Saccharomyces cerevisiae S288C: one gene and its partners. The gene in region 1 interacts genetically with each later gene. Each region holds a gene or a part of one and is shown on either strand. Other genes may lie near its edges. The genes, in order: PRM15, SDD1 and YER187W.

The links.
Region 2: mutations in PRM15 (region 1) and SDD1 together harm fitness more than expected from each alone (negative genetic interaction), as found in Saccharomyces cerevisiae (one large-scale study listed by BioGRID).
Region 3: mutations in PRM15 (region 1) and YER187W together harm fitness more than expected from each alone (negative genetic interaction), as found in Saccharomyces cerevisiae (one large-scale study listed by BioGRID).

The regions. Positions count from the first base shown.
Region 1 is NC_001145.3:820,957-825,184, forward strand, and holds PRM15 (phosphoribomutase PRM15), read left to right. Parts: upstream 1-1,806; coding exon 1,807-3,675; downstream 3,676-4,228. Other genes in the region: FCP1 (protein serine/threonine phosphatase), read left to right, coding at 1-1,498; ATR2 (Atr2p), read right to left, coding at 3,773-4,228. UniProt on the Saccharomyces cerevisiae protein: Major phosphoribomutase that converts ribose 1-phosphate to ribose 5-phosphate. Involved in ribose salvage via the pentose phosphate pathway.
Region 2 is NC_001137.3:44,469-47,409, reverse strand, and holds SDD1 (Sdd1p), read left to right. Parts: upstream 1-1,688; coding exon 1,689-2,390; downstream 2,391-2,941. Other genes in the region: HAT2 (Hat2p), read right to left, coding at 1-242; phosphoacetylglucosamine mutase PCM1, read right to left, coding at 2,485-2,941. UniProt on the Saccharomyces cerevisiae protein: Acts as an endogenous target of the ribosome quality control (RQC) pathway. During translation, the nascent chain has a propensity to stall ribosomes, thereby stimulating activation of the RQC pathway.
Region 3 is NC_001137.3:564,336-567,210, forward strand, and holds YER187W (uncharacterized protein), read left to right. Parts: upstream 1-1,894; coding exon 1,895-2,320; downstream 2,321-2,875.

The DNA of each region.
Region 1 (4,228 bases):
GCTGAGACCGCCTCCCGTAAGAAAATGTTGGTACTACGTGAAGGTAAGGCCCGGTTTAAAGGAATTTTTCGCTAAAGTGGCGCCTCTTTTTGAAATGCATATCTACACAATGGCTACAAGGGCTTATGCCTTGCAAATTGCCAAAATCGTGGACCCTACGGGCGAATTGTTTGGCGATAGAATTCTGTCGCGTGATGAAAATGGGTCTCTAACAACTAAATCATTAGCTAAACTTTTCCCCACTGACCAGTCAATGGTTGTAGTTATTGACGACAGAGGTGATGTTTGGAATTGGTGTCCAAACTTGATCAAAGTTGTTCCTTATAACTTCTTCGTTGGTGTAGGTGACATTAATTCTAATTTCTTGCCCAAACAATCTACAGGAATGCTACAACTAGGGAGGAAGACAAGACAGAAGAGCCAAGAATCTCAGGAACTGCTGACGGATATTATGGATAACGAAAAAAAACTACAAGAAAAGATAGATAAAGAAGTTAAACGCCAAGAAGAAAAATTGAACCATCAACTGGCGACTGCTGAGGAGCCTCCTGCGAACGAATCCAAAGAAGAGTTGACCAAGAAACTAGAATATTCAGCATCTTTAGAAGTCCAACAACAAAATCGACCCTTGGCCAAACTACAAAAACACCTGCATGATCAAAAACTACTAGTTGATGACGATGATGAACTATACTACTTAATGGGTACGCTATCAAACATTCACAAAACTTATTATGATATGCTCTCACAACAAAATGAGCCAGAACCAAATCTGATGGAAATCATACCAAGTTTGAAGCAAAAAGTCTTCCAAAATTGCTATTTTGTTTTTTCAGGATTAATACCCCTCGGGACCGATATTCAAAGGTCGGACATAGTGATATGGACGAGTACATTTGGTGCCACTTCCACTCCAGATATAGATTACCTGACGACACATTTAATCACCAAGAACCCTAGCACTTATAAAGCGCGTCTAGCGAAAAAGTTCAACCCACAGATTAAAATTGTTCACCCAGATTGGATATTTGAGTGTTTGGTAAATTGGAAAAAGGTGGATGAAAAACCCTACACGTTAATCGTGGACAGCCCCATCTCCGACGAGGAATTACAAAACTTTCAAACACAATTACAAAAAAGACAAGAATATCTGGAGGAGACCCAGGAACAACAGCATATGTTGACATCACAAGAAAATCTAAATTTATTCGCTGCTGGTACTTCATGGTTAAACAATGACGACGATGAAGATATTCCGGACACAGCTAGCGACGACGACGAAGATGACGACCACGACGACGAAAGTGATGACGAAAACAACTCGGAAGGCATTGACAGAAAGAGGAGCATCGAGGACAATCATGATGATACATCACAAAAGAAGACCAAGGCGGAACCTTCTCAAGATGGTCCTGTACAACATAAAGGAGAAGGGGATGACAACGAAGACAGCGATTCGCAGTTGGAGGAAGAGTTGATGGATATGCTGGATGATTAGCAGCTCAGATGCCGTATCTTTCCACACATTTTCCTCATTGGTCTTTGTACCTATAATTGTTCATATTATATATACGTTTGTAACAAATCGATAAATAGCAACAATATTTTTGCTTATTTTGATATCCTGAAATCCTTTTTTTTTTTTTTTTTTTTTTTTTTTTTTTTTTGATTTCATTTCGTTTTTTTTTTTTGAACATTATATATTGTATTGTTTTCTCCCTGTAGCGAGAACTAATTGATTCTTTCTCCTTTCCCCCTAAATACTCAACAGTACTCTCGAGCCATTAGCTGCTGCAATTTCAAAAAATGTTGCAAGGAATTTTAGAAACCGTACCATCTGACTTGAAAGATCCGATATCATTATGGTTTAAGCAAGACCGCAACCCAAAAACTATAGAAGAGGTCACCGCTCTCTGCAAAAAATCCGACTGGAATGAGTTACACAAAAGATTTGATTCTAGAATTCAGTTTGGCACTGCTGGTTTAAGATCGCAAATGCAAGCTGGCTTTAGCAGGATGAATACTTTAGTAGTCATACAAGCGTCTCAGGGATTGGCAACTTATGTAAGACAACAGTTTCCAGACAATTTGGTAGCTGTTGTGGGACACGATCATAGATTCCATTCTAAGGAGTTCGCTAGAGCTACTGCTGCTGCATTTCTTTTAAAAGGATTTAAGGTACATTATTTGAATCCTGACCACGAATTTGTTCATACCCCTTTAGTTCCCTTTGCAGTGGATAAGCTAAAGGCCTCCGTTGGCGTAATGATAACAGCAAGTCACAACCCAAAAATGGATAATGGATATAAAGTATACTATTCCAATGGATGCCAAATCATTCCACCTCACGATCATGCCATCTCTGATTCCATTGACGCAAATTTAGAACCATGGGCCAATGTGTGGGATTTCGACGATGTTCTAAATAAGGCTCTCAAACAAGGGAAATTGATGTATTCCAGAGAAGAAATGCTGAAGTTATATTTAGAGGAGGTTTCTAAAAATCTGGTAGAAATCAACCCATTAAAGCTTGAAGTAAAAGCCAAACCTTGGTTCGTTTACACTCCAATGCATGGGGTTGGATTTGACATTTTCAGCACCATCGTAAAAAAAACACTGTGCCTGGTAGAAGGTAAGGATTACCTATGTGTTCCTGAACAACAAAATCCAGATCCTTCTTTCCCAACTGTTGGATTTCCTAACCCTGAAGAAAAAGGTGCTTTAGACATTGGTATAAACTTGGCTGAAAAACATGACATTGACTTACTTGTTGCCAACGACCCTGACGCTGATAGATTCTCTGTTGCTGTTAAAGATATGCAGTCAGGCGAATGGCGACAACTAACAGGTAACGAAATCGGTTTTCTTTTTGCATTTTATGAATATCAGAAATATAAAAGTATGGACAAAGAATTTCAGCACGTTCATCCGTTGGCTATGTTAAATTCAACAGTGTCTTCACAAATGATAAAAAAAATGGCAGAAATAGAAGGGTTCCATTATGAGGATACATTAACAGGATTTAAGTGGATCGGAAATCGTGCCATACTCTTGGAAAAGAAAGGCTATTACGTTCCTTTTGGATTCGAGGAAGCAATAGGCTACATGTTTCCAGCAATGGAGCATGATAAGGATGGTATCAGTGCATCCATTGTCTTCTTGCAAGCCTACTGTAAGTGGAAAATAGACCACAATTTGGACCCGCTAAATGTCTTAGAAAATGGCTTCAAAAAATATGGCGTGTTCAAAGAGTACAATGGCTATTATGTCGTTCCAAATCCAACTGTTACAAAAGATATATTTGACTACATCAGGAATGTCTACACTCCTGAGGGCGCGTCATATCCTTCATCTATTGGTGAAGAAATCGAAGTACTTTACTATCGAGATTTAACCACTGGTTACCAATCGGATACCATAAATCATAAACCTACTCTACCCGTCGATCCTACATCACAAATGATAACAGTATCTGCTAGACCAAGTAACGGTAGTGAGAATGAGCATATCCGCTTCACTATTCGCGGGTCCGGAACAGAACCAAAACTTAAAGTATATATTGAAGCTTGCGCAAATGAAGAACAAAGAGCCTCTTTCTTGGCGAAATTGACTTGGAATGTGCTGAGACGTGAATGGTTTAGACCAGATGAAATGAATATAGTTACAAAATTTTGATACTATTTTAACCTATACATTAAGACCAAGCGACTTAAAGAATGCCATTATATTTGTTGTTTGTACCTACACTTATATCAATATACATTTAACTAGTTTATGCCTCCAAACTTCTATCTTCAGATTTTCTGTGTCGATTCCAAAGGTTTTCAAGCATGTAAGTCACACTAATCACAACACCAAGAGAAGCGAGCCCAACTCCCAGATATACAGCTGCTCGGTAACCTTTCAACAAATCATTGCCGCTTTTATTAATTTGGTGTTCAACAGTGCCTCCCATACCTAAACATAGAGACGCTGAATAATTAATAACGGTGTTTACTAATGATCCAGCCATACCTTGATACTGCATTGGAAGCCCGTCACTCAATATAATGGATGATGCCGGGAAGGACAGGTCCATACCAAAACATAAGATAGCCTGCATCGCAAAGTTCAACTTCCAATAGCTTTGTTCCACTGGCAATACACTAAACATTATGGAACCAGCGTCAAATGCCATTAGTGAAAAACATAGTAGTAGAGCTGGTCCTAATCTCTTGATAGAAAAGGC
Region 2 (2,941 bases), on another chromosome or scaffold:
GGTAGATTAATTTCTGCGAATTTCAAATAGTTTTCTTCTTCACCAGAAGTGTGCGTACCGATGATTAATTCTTGTTTAATAAAGCCACCATCTAATTCTTGAACAGGAGTAGGGAGCCATTGGACGGTTAAAGATGGCCATGTTAAACGTGTCTCGCTAACAAAGTCATACATTAATGGAACATTGGATTTCCATAAATCGTACTCCTCGTCTACAGAAAGCGGTTTCTCTTGGTTTTCCATAGTTGATTGGTAATTTGCTATTTGGTGACTACTAGGCTAACCACAATTGATAGGAGAGATAAGAGAGGCAGAAGTATTAGAGGCATAGTAACGTCTTTCTAGTTATTCTCCATTATTATTTTCAAGGTTTGTCTTTGTCATGTCGACGAATGCCAGTGAAAACATCCGTACACCTCACAAATTGTTATTTTGAACAGAACAGACGAGCTACTCATCAAGTATCAAATAGACTGAACAAATGACCTAATCTTTCTAGATTACTCCAAAAGAAAAAGCTGAAAGGAAACCGGTTAAAAACATGAAAGCTTTCTGTAGGGAAGTTTTTTCCTCGCTCTGCTCCTGAGCCTACAGGAGCATGGAAATGGTTGAAAGGACCGAGGAAGAAAGGGAGCATGTCAAATAGAACAAGAGGAAAAAAAAGGTGAAAACAGCTATTTTAAGCAGCAGAAGTTTGAGTCAGAAATGCCTACAATATATGAGAATTTCTTCGCACATGGTTTAAAAAAACTAAATAATCCGCGTGATAACGTTCTCACCAGATTATGAAATCAAATAACAATGCCCCACCTGTATATTGCGATTGACGTAAACGGTAATAAATGTAAAATTTAACATAAAAAAGGGTAAAGAAAACAAACTTTTTCAGGGGTCATCCCTTTTTGTTTTCTTTTTCATTCTTATAAATCAAGAGTATTTTATCGGTAGACAGTTTAGCCGCCGATTTTGTACCGCAGTCCAATATTAGTAAATGTTGGGCACCACTTTGAACATACCGACTCATTGAGACTGCAAGAGCAATTATTTTATATTCTTCTTGAGGCGCCGTTAAAGAGAGAATGAACACGACAATTATCTACAGCATGCAATCGTGGTCAGAATTCTAACTTTTTGTCTTATAAATGCGCACGTATTATTTTCATTTATGTATATATAGATAAATCAGAGCATTGAGTAGTAAAACTGAAGGCTCAAGAGTTCTGATACGCGATGAGAATTCGTGCAGTTAGGATGTCAATTTTGCCAAAATTGGGACGGGCGGCTGCCGTCCGGGGATTCCATGAAGAGAGTGGAAAAAAAAGTGTCACTAACTTCCCACAGGTATCCCCGACACCCTATCCTGCGCTAAGAAAGCCAATCGGCTGAATGTGCAATTGATTGACGTTGAAGGAAAAGAAAAAAAGGAGAAAATTGGGGCGATAATAACAATCACAAACGTCTTCCACTTTTTATCAAATGTTGCGGGAAGAAATAAGGGTAAAATGCCTTGTGTAGGTTCATACATATATAAATAAGTAAGGAAGTTAAAAGAAACCCTTCAAAATGTAACCTACATCATGCGTAGGCTTAATATTAAGCGGAGAAAATCGGCAAGCCCAAGCTTATATTCATATTATGGAATACAAAAGGCGAAAAAGAAAATTGACTAGTAACTAAATTGAAAATTAAATGGCAAATGATGGGATTCAGAGGAATGACAACAGAAAGGGTTTTAAAACTGTACAGTTCTCGGCTTATTCTAAAGAAATTGACGTCATAATGAAAAAAATATCATTCTTGGAAAGAAACATTACCCAACAACTAGATACTCTTCCTCATTTTCCAAAAACCTTACCACCAAATCACAAAGATTGTGTAAGTAGAAAGCACAGGGCCAGGCGAGGTTGGAGTAGTCAGCTGAAAAACTTGCTAGGCATTTACTCCAAAGAGGAAATTTTTACTCTGGATAATTTAGCTGCAACACTGCATGATCAAGTTTTAAAGTTACAAGCTACACTTTTTCCCAATGCCATACTGAAACAGGTTCATCTCGACAATGCCAACATAGAAAACAAGAGAATTCTGAAGGAAATTACATATAAATACCTTTCCAACGAAAACTGTAAAGAGGAGAACAAATTCGGAACATTCATCGTAAAGAGAATTTTTTTTGGTGACTTATCACTCGGGGTTTCCGTGTTAATCAACCGTATTGCTTTCGAATCGGCCACATCATCCATTATGGTAGTGAGAAGTTCATTTATTGAAAGTGATTTCTTTTATGAAGATTATTTGATTTTCGATTGCAGAGCGAAACGACGAAAAAAATTGAAGAGGAAAATTTTGTTTATTTCCACTACCATGAATTTCAATTACCAAACCAAAGTCTAAGCCTGTAACAAACGTTGATTGATACCAATATTTTTTCTCTTTCATTTATCTCTCTGTATATCTAAATAGCTATACTATACATCGAATAATGCTTTCAAGCAGATGCCTTAACGTGCTCCACCACTTCGTCACAAAATTGACCTAACTTAGAGGAGTCCTTACATTCCGCATAAACCCTCACCGCATCCTCCGTACCACTGGCTCTGACAAAGCTTCTTCCCATGGGATACTTGGCTACCACAAGATCTATCTTGTCTTGCAACCCCACTGGATTGAGCAATTTTCTTTCCTGGTCCGTGGTTTGGAAAATTGACCTATCAGGAACGATGCACTTAACCAGCTTGTTGGGCAAATCAGTATACTCTTCATCCCAATCCATTGGCGACATTTTCAAAATCGCCAAAGTAGCAAGGACAGCAAGCATGTCTGAAATAGCATCTCCCACGGTCTGATTAATCAATTCAGAGAAACACTTCAAAGTTCTCAAAGCTAACGTATCACCATTTAACTTGGACTTGGATAATTCAGATTTGATAGTTCGATGAAATTTT
Region 3 (2,875 bases), on another chromosome or scaffold:
GAGGTCTAGTAGTATATTGTTGCTTTAATGATTCAAACTCTTAACAATGTGGGCAAATATGCGTATGATTTCGTTCTGGGAAAGGATAGTAAGAAGCCTTTTTGATTACAAAACCGTGAAAGACGGTTTAGCAGCTTTTACAGGAAACCTGCTTTACCTTAGCCAGTGTTTTCTCATCTTCAAAAAAAAGTATTGTACGCAACTCTTCCATCTAGCAGAGCTCCCGCTCTTTTTCAAACAAGTTTCATTATATTTATTCTTAATAATTTTGGTATCATCGAGGTGAGGTCTTCGTTGTTTCAACACCAGCTATTTTTCAGCGGCTTACAATTACGTAGTTCTATTAACGAATACACTGGGAGGTGAGTATAATCATGGACTGTAACACTATACGACTCCAACACGTTATATGTATCAGTTATATATATATATTATATTATTTTGGGAAGAGTAGCATTGCTTTTGAAAGTACACGGGGTTTACTTTGGCTCATAGAATGGGTCTGGATATGAAATTCTGAAATATTCAGATTTTGGAGTACTGAAAATATTTAGCAAGAATTTCAAATATTAGTTAGTAAACCAAACCAAGGCATCTGAACTTGAACCTCCATAACTCGCTTTCTAACATAATGAGCTTGTATGACATAATATTATAGAACTCGAGGTTAACCTTTAAATATAAATATAGTAATCTTCATGATAATAATTTCAGGGTAGTGCGCGTATTTGTCGAAAAAACGCAAAATGACAGAAATTCTATGTTTACTGACTTTAGATTTTGTTTTAGATCAATTGGCGGAAAAAGGACGCAGTCTGTAACTTTGATTGGCATCTTGATTTGATTTGTTGGGTGGTTCTCTTACAATCAATGGTTTATTTCATGGAAAGCTTGATGACATGTGATAGCACACCATGCTAATTAGTGAAAAGAGTCCTTGTTGACTTACCACATGTGCAGCCGCCTTTTACCGTGGTGCGAAGCATATTGAGCGGCCTGGAGACCAAGAATGTCAGGGCCTTTAAACAATAGAAGAAGTGTATAGGAAAAAACTAAGGTGTTTTGAGATATTTTTTATAAAAGTAGTATTTCTTAAAAATCAGCGGGGAGCCATTCTTTGAAGGCGCGCTTGCAAATTTTAGGTATTGGGCTTGATTATTTTGGCAAGTGTCATGCATTGTAACAAATCTATATAAAGTGACAATTCTGGAACACTGTATCGTAATCCCAAATAATGTATGTAGAATAGAAAAAAATATATGAAAAAATGAATAGATCATACACAGACGACATGAATAGCAGCCCTCCAAATTACTTGACAACAAGGACGTTTAGAATCGTTAGATTGTTTGCAATAATTTTTGCACTGCTTTTGGTAGCGTACTCATTATTTTTAAGCACACTTAGAACTGGAGCTATACCTGACCGCGCCAACACTGCTGCTCTAGTACGGCGAGCTAGGTGATCATTTGCGACTGGATTAGGACTAGGAGGATTTTTAATTGCTGCAGCCGCTTATGCTACTCCTTACTGGGTCGCAGCAACCTGTATCGCATCCACTAGCGGAATATGTTCACCTATAGCTGGTGCTGTTTTAGCAACTTCAGCAGTTATAGTTGCAGCAGTTTTAGTGGGAAAGAGTTCTGGCTCAGCAACAAAGCGAGGGTTAAGTGAGACTATTAATGTACTGAATCATACTATAACACTCACTGATCATGTGCTCAATGGGCAAACATTGTCTAATGGTACTGGTAGTAATTTTGTTACAATAGAGTTTAGTGGGTATGCAGTACATGACACTATTAAACGTGACGGTGCTGCTGAGATCAACTTTGTGGGGTATACTACGGAGCATGGAACCCACATCAGCACGAGTAGCGTACATAATGTGAGCATGCTCATCGATCAAATCGTGGCAGCGGTACCAGGGGTACCTGATATAAGTGGCAACGCTTCGGCCCTATCGTTACAGAGACGCAGTCAAGAGTTCGCCACCTCATGGATATCAATGACATATAGTCAGAGTTATGGTGACCTGGCACAGAACTGGCAGAATGACGAAGGTGGAGCAGGAAATTTTGATTCTTATGCTGAAGAGAAGTTACAGAATTTCTTTTCAGGTAATAGGGATTGGAAATACTGCTTTGCTGCTGAGGACACGAAAAACGGTGAGCCACTTGATTACGATGACATACCTGGTGACGGTGCAGGCACGGGTTCGGCATTCAAGTCTGAGATATATTTTAACACTTACGGTGGTATAGATAATTATTGTAATGACGAGCATATCGGTGCTCAGAACACTGGAGATGGTCGATAAAGCTTTACGCCTGTCGCTGAATTGACTGACCCGAAATTAAGAACTGTTGACGTAGTGAATTACGATCTAGTTTATATGTCATAATGTAGTAAGTTTATTGGACCCTTCTATATGTTATGTAAATGTAATAATTACATAGTTACTGCTTTTGTACATAGAAACTATAGTTTCTTAAGTACTACCGGATTAGAGGTTTGCTACTATATGTTTTCCTTGTCTCAAGCATTACTGAAACAACTCTGAAACAATACTAAAACATTACTCATATCATGCTTTTGGGTTACCACATTCAACAATAACTCGAATACATTTATAAAAAAAACAAAACTAAGGTACAAAACACACACCACACCACATACGCGCTGATTGGTTTTATGGAAGCTAATAGTTCAGACATAGCTCAGAAAAATAATAATAAGTATTATCAAATATAACTCATCTGGTTACATGCTAAGTTCTTGTCAAGTGATATAGCGTTATCTTTATTATTGAATTAAATTCTATAATTAGAATTCGACTACACCAACTAATGACTCTAAAAAATATGTGATTGCC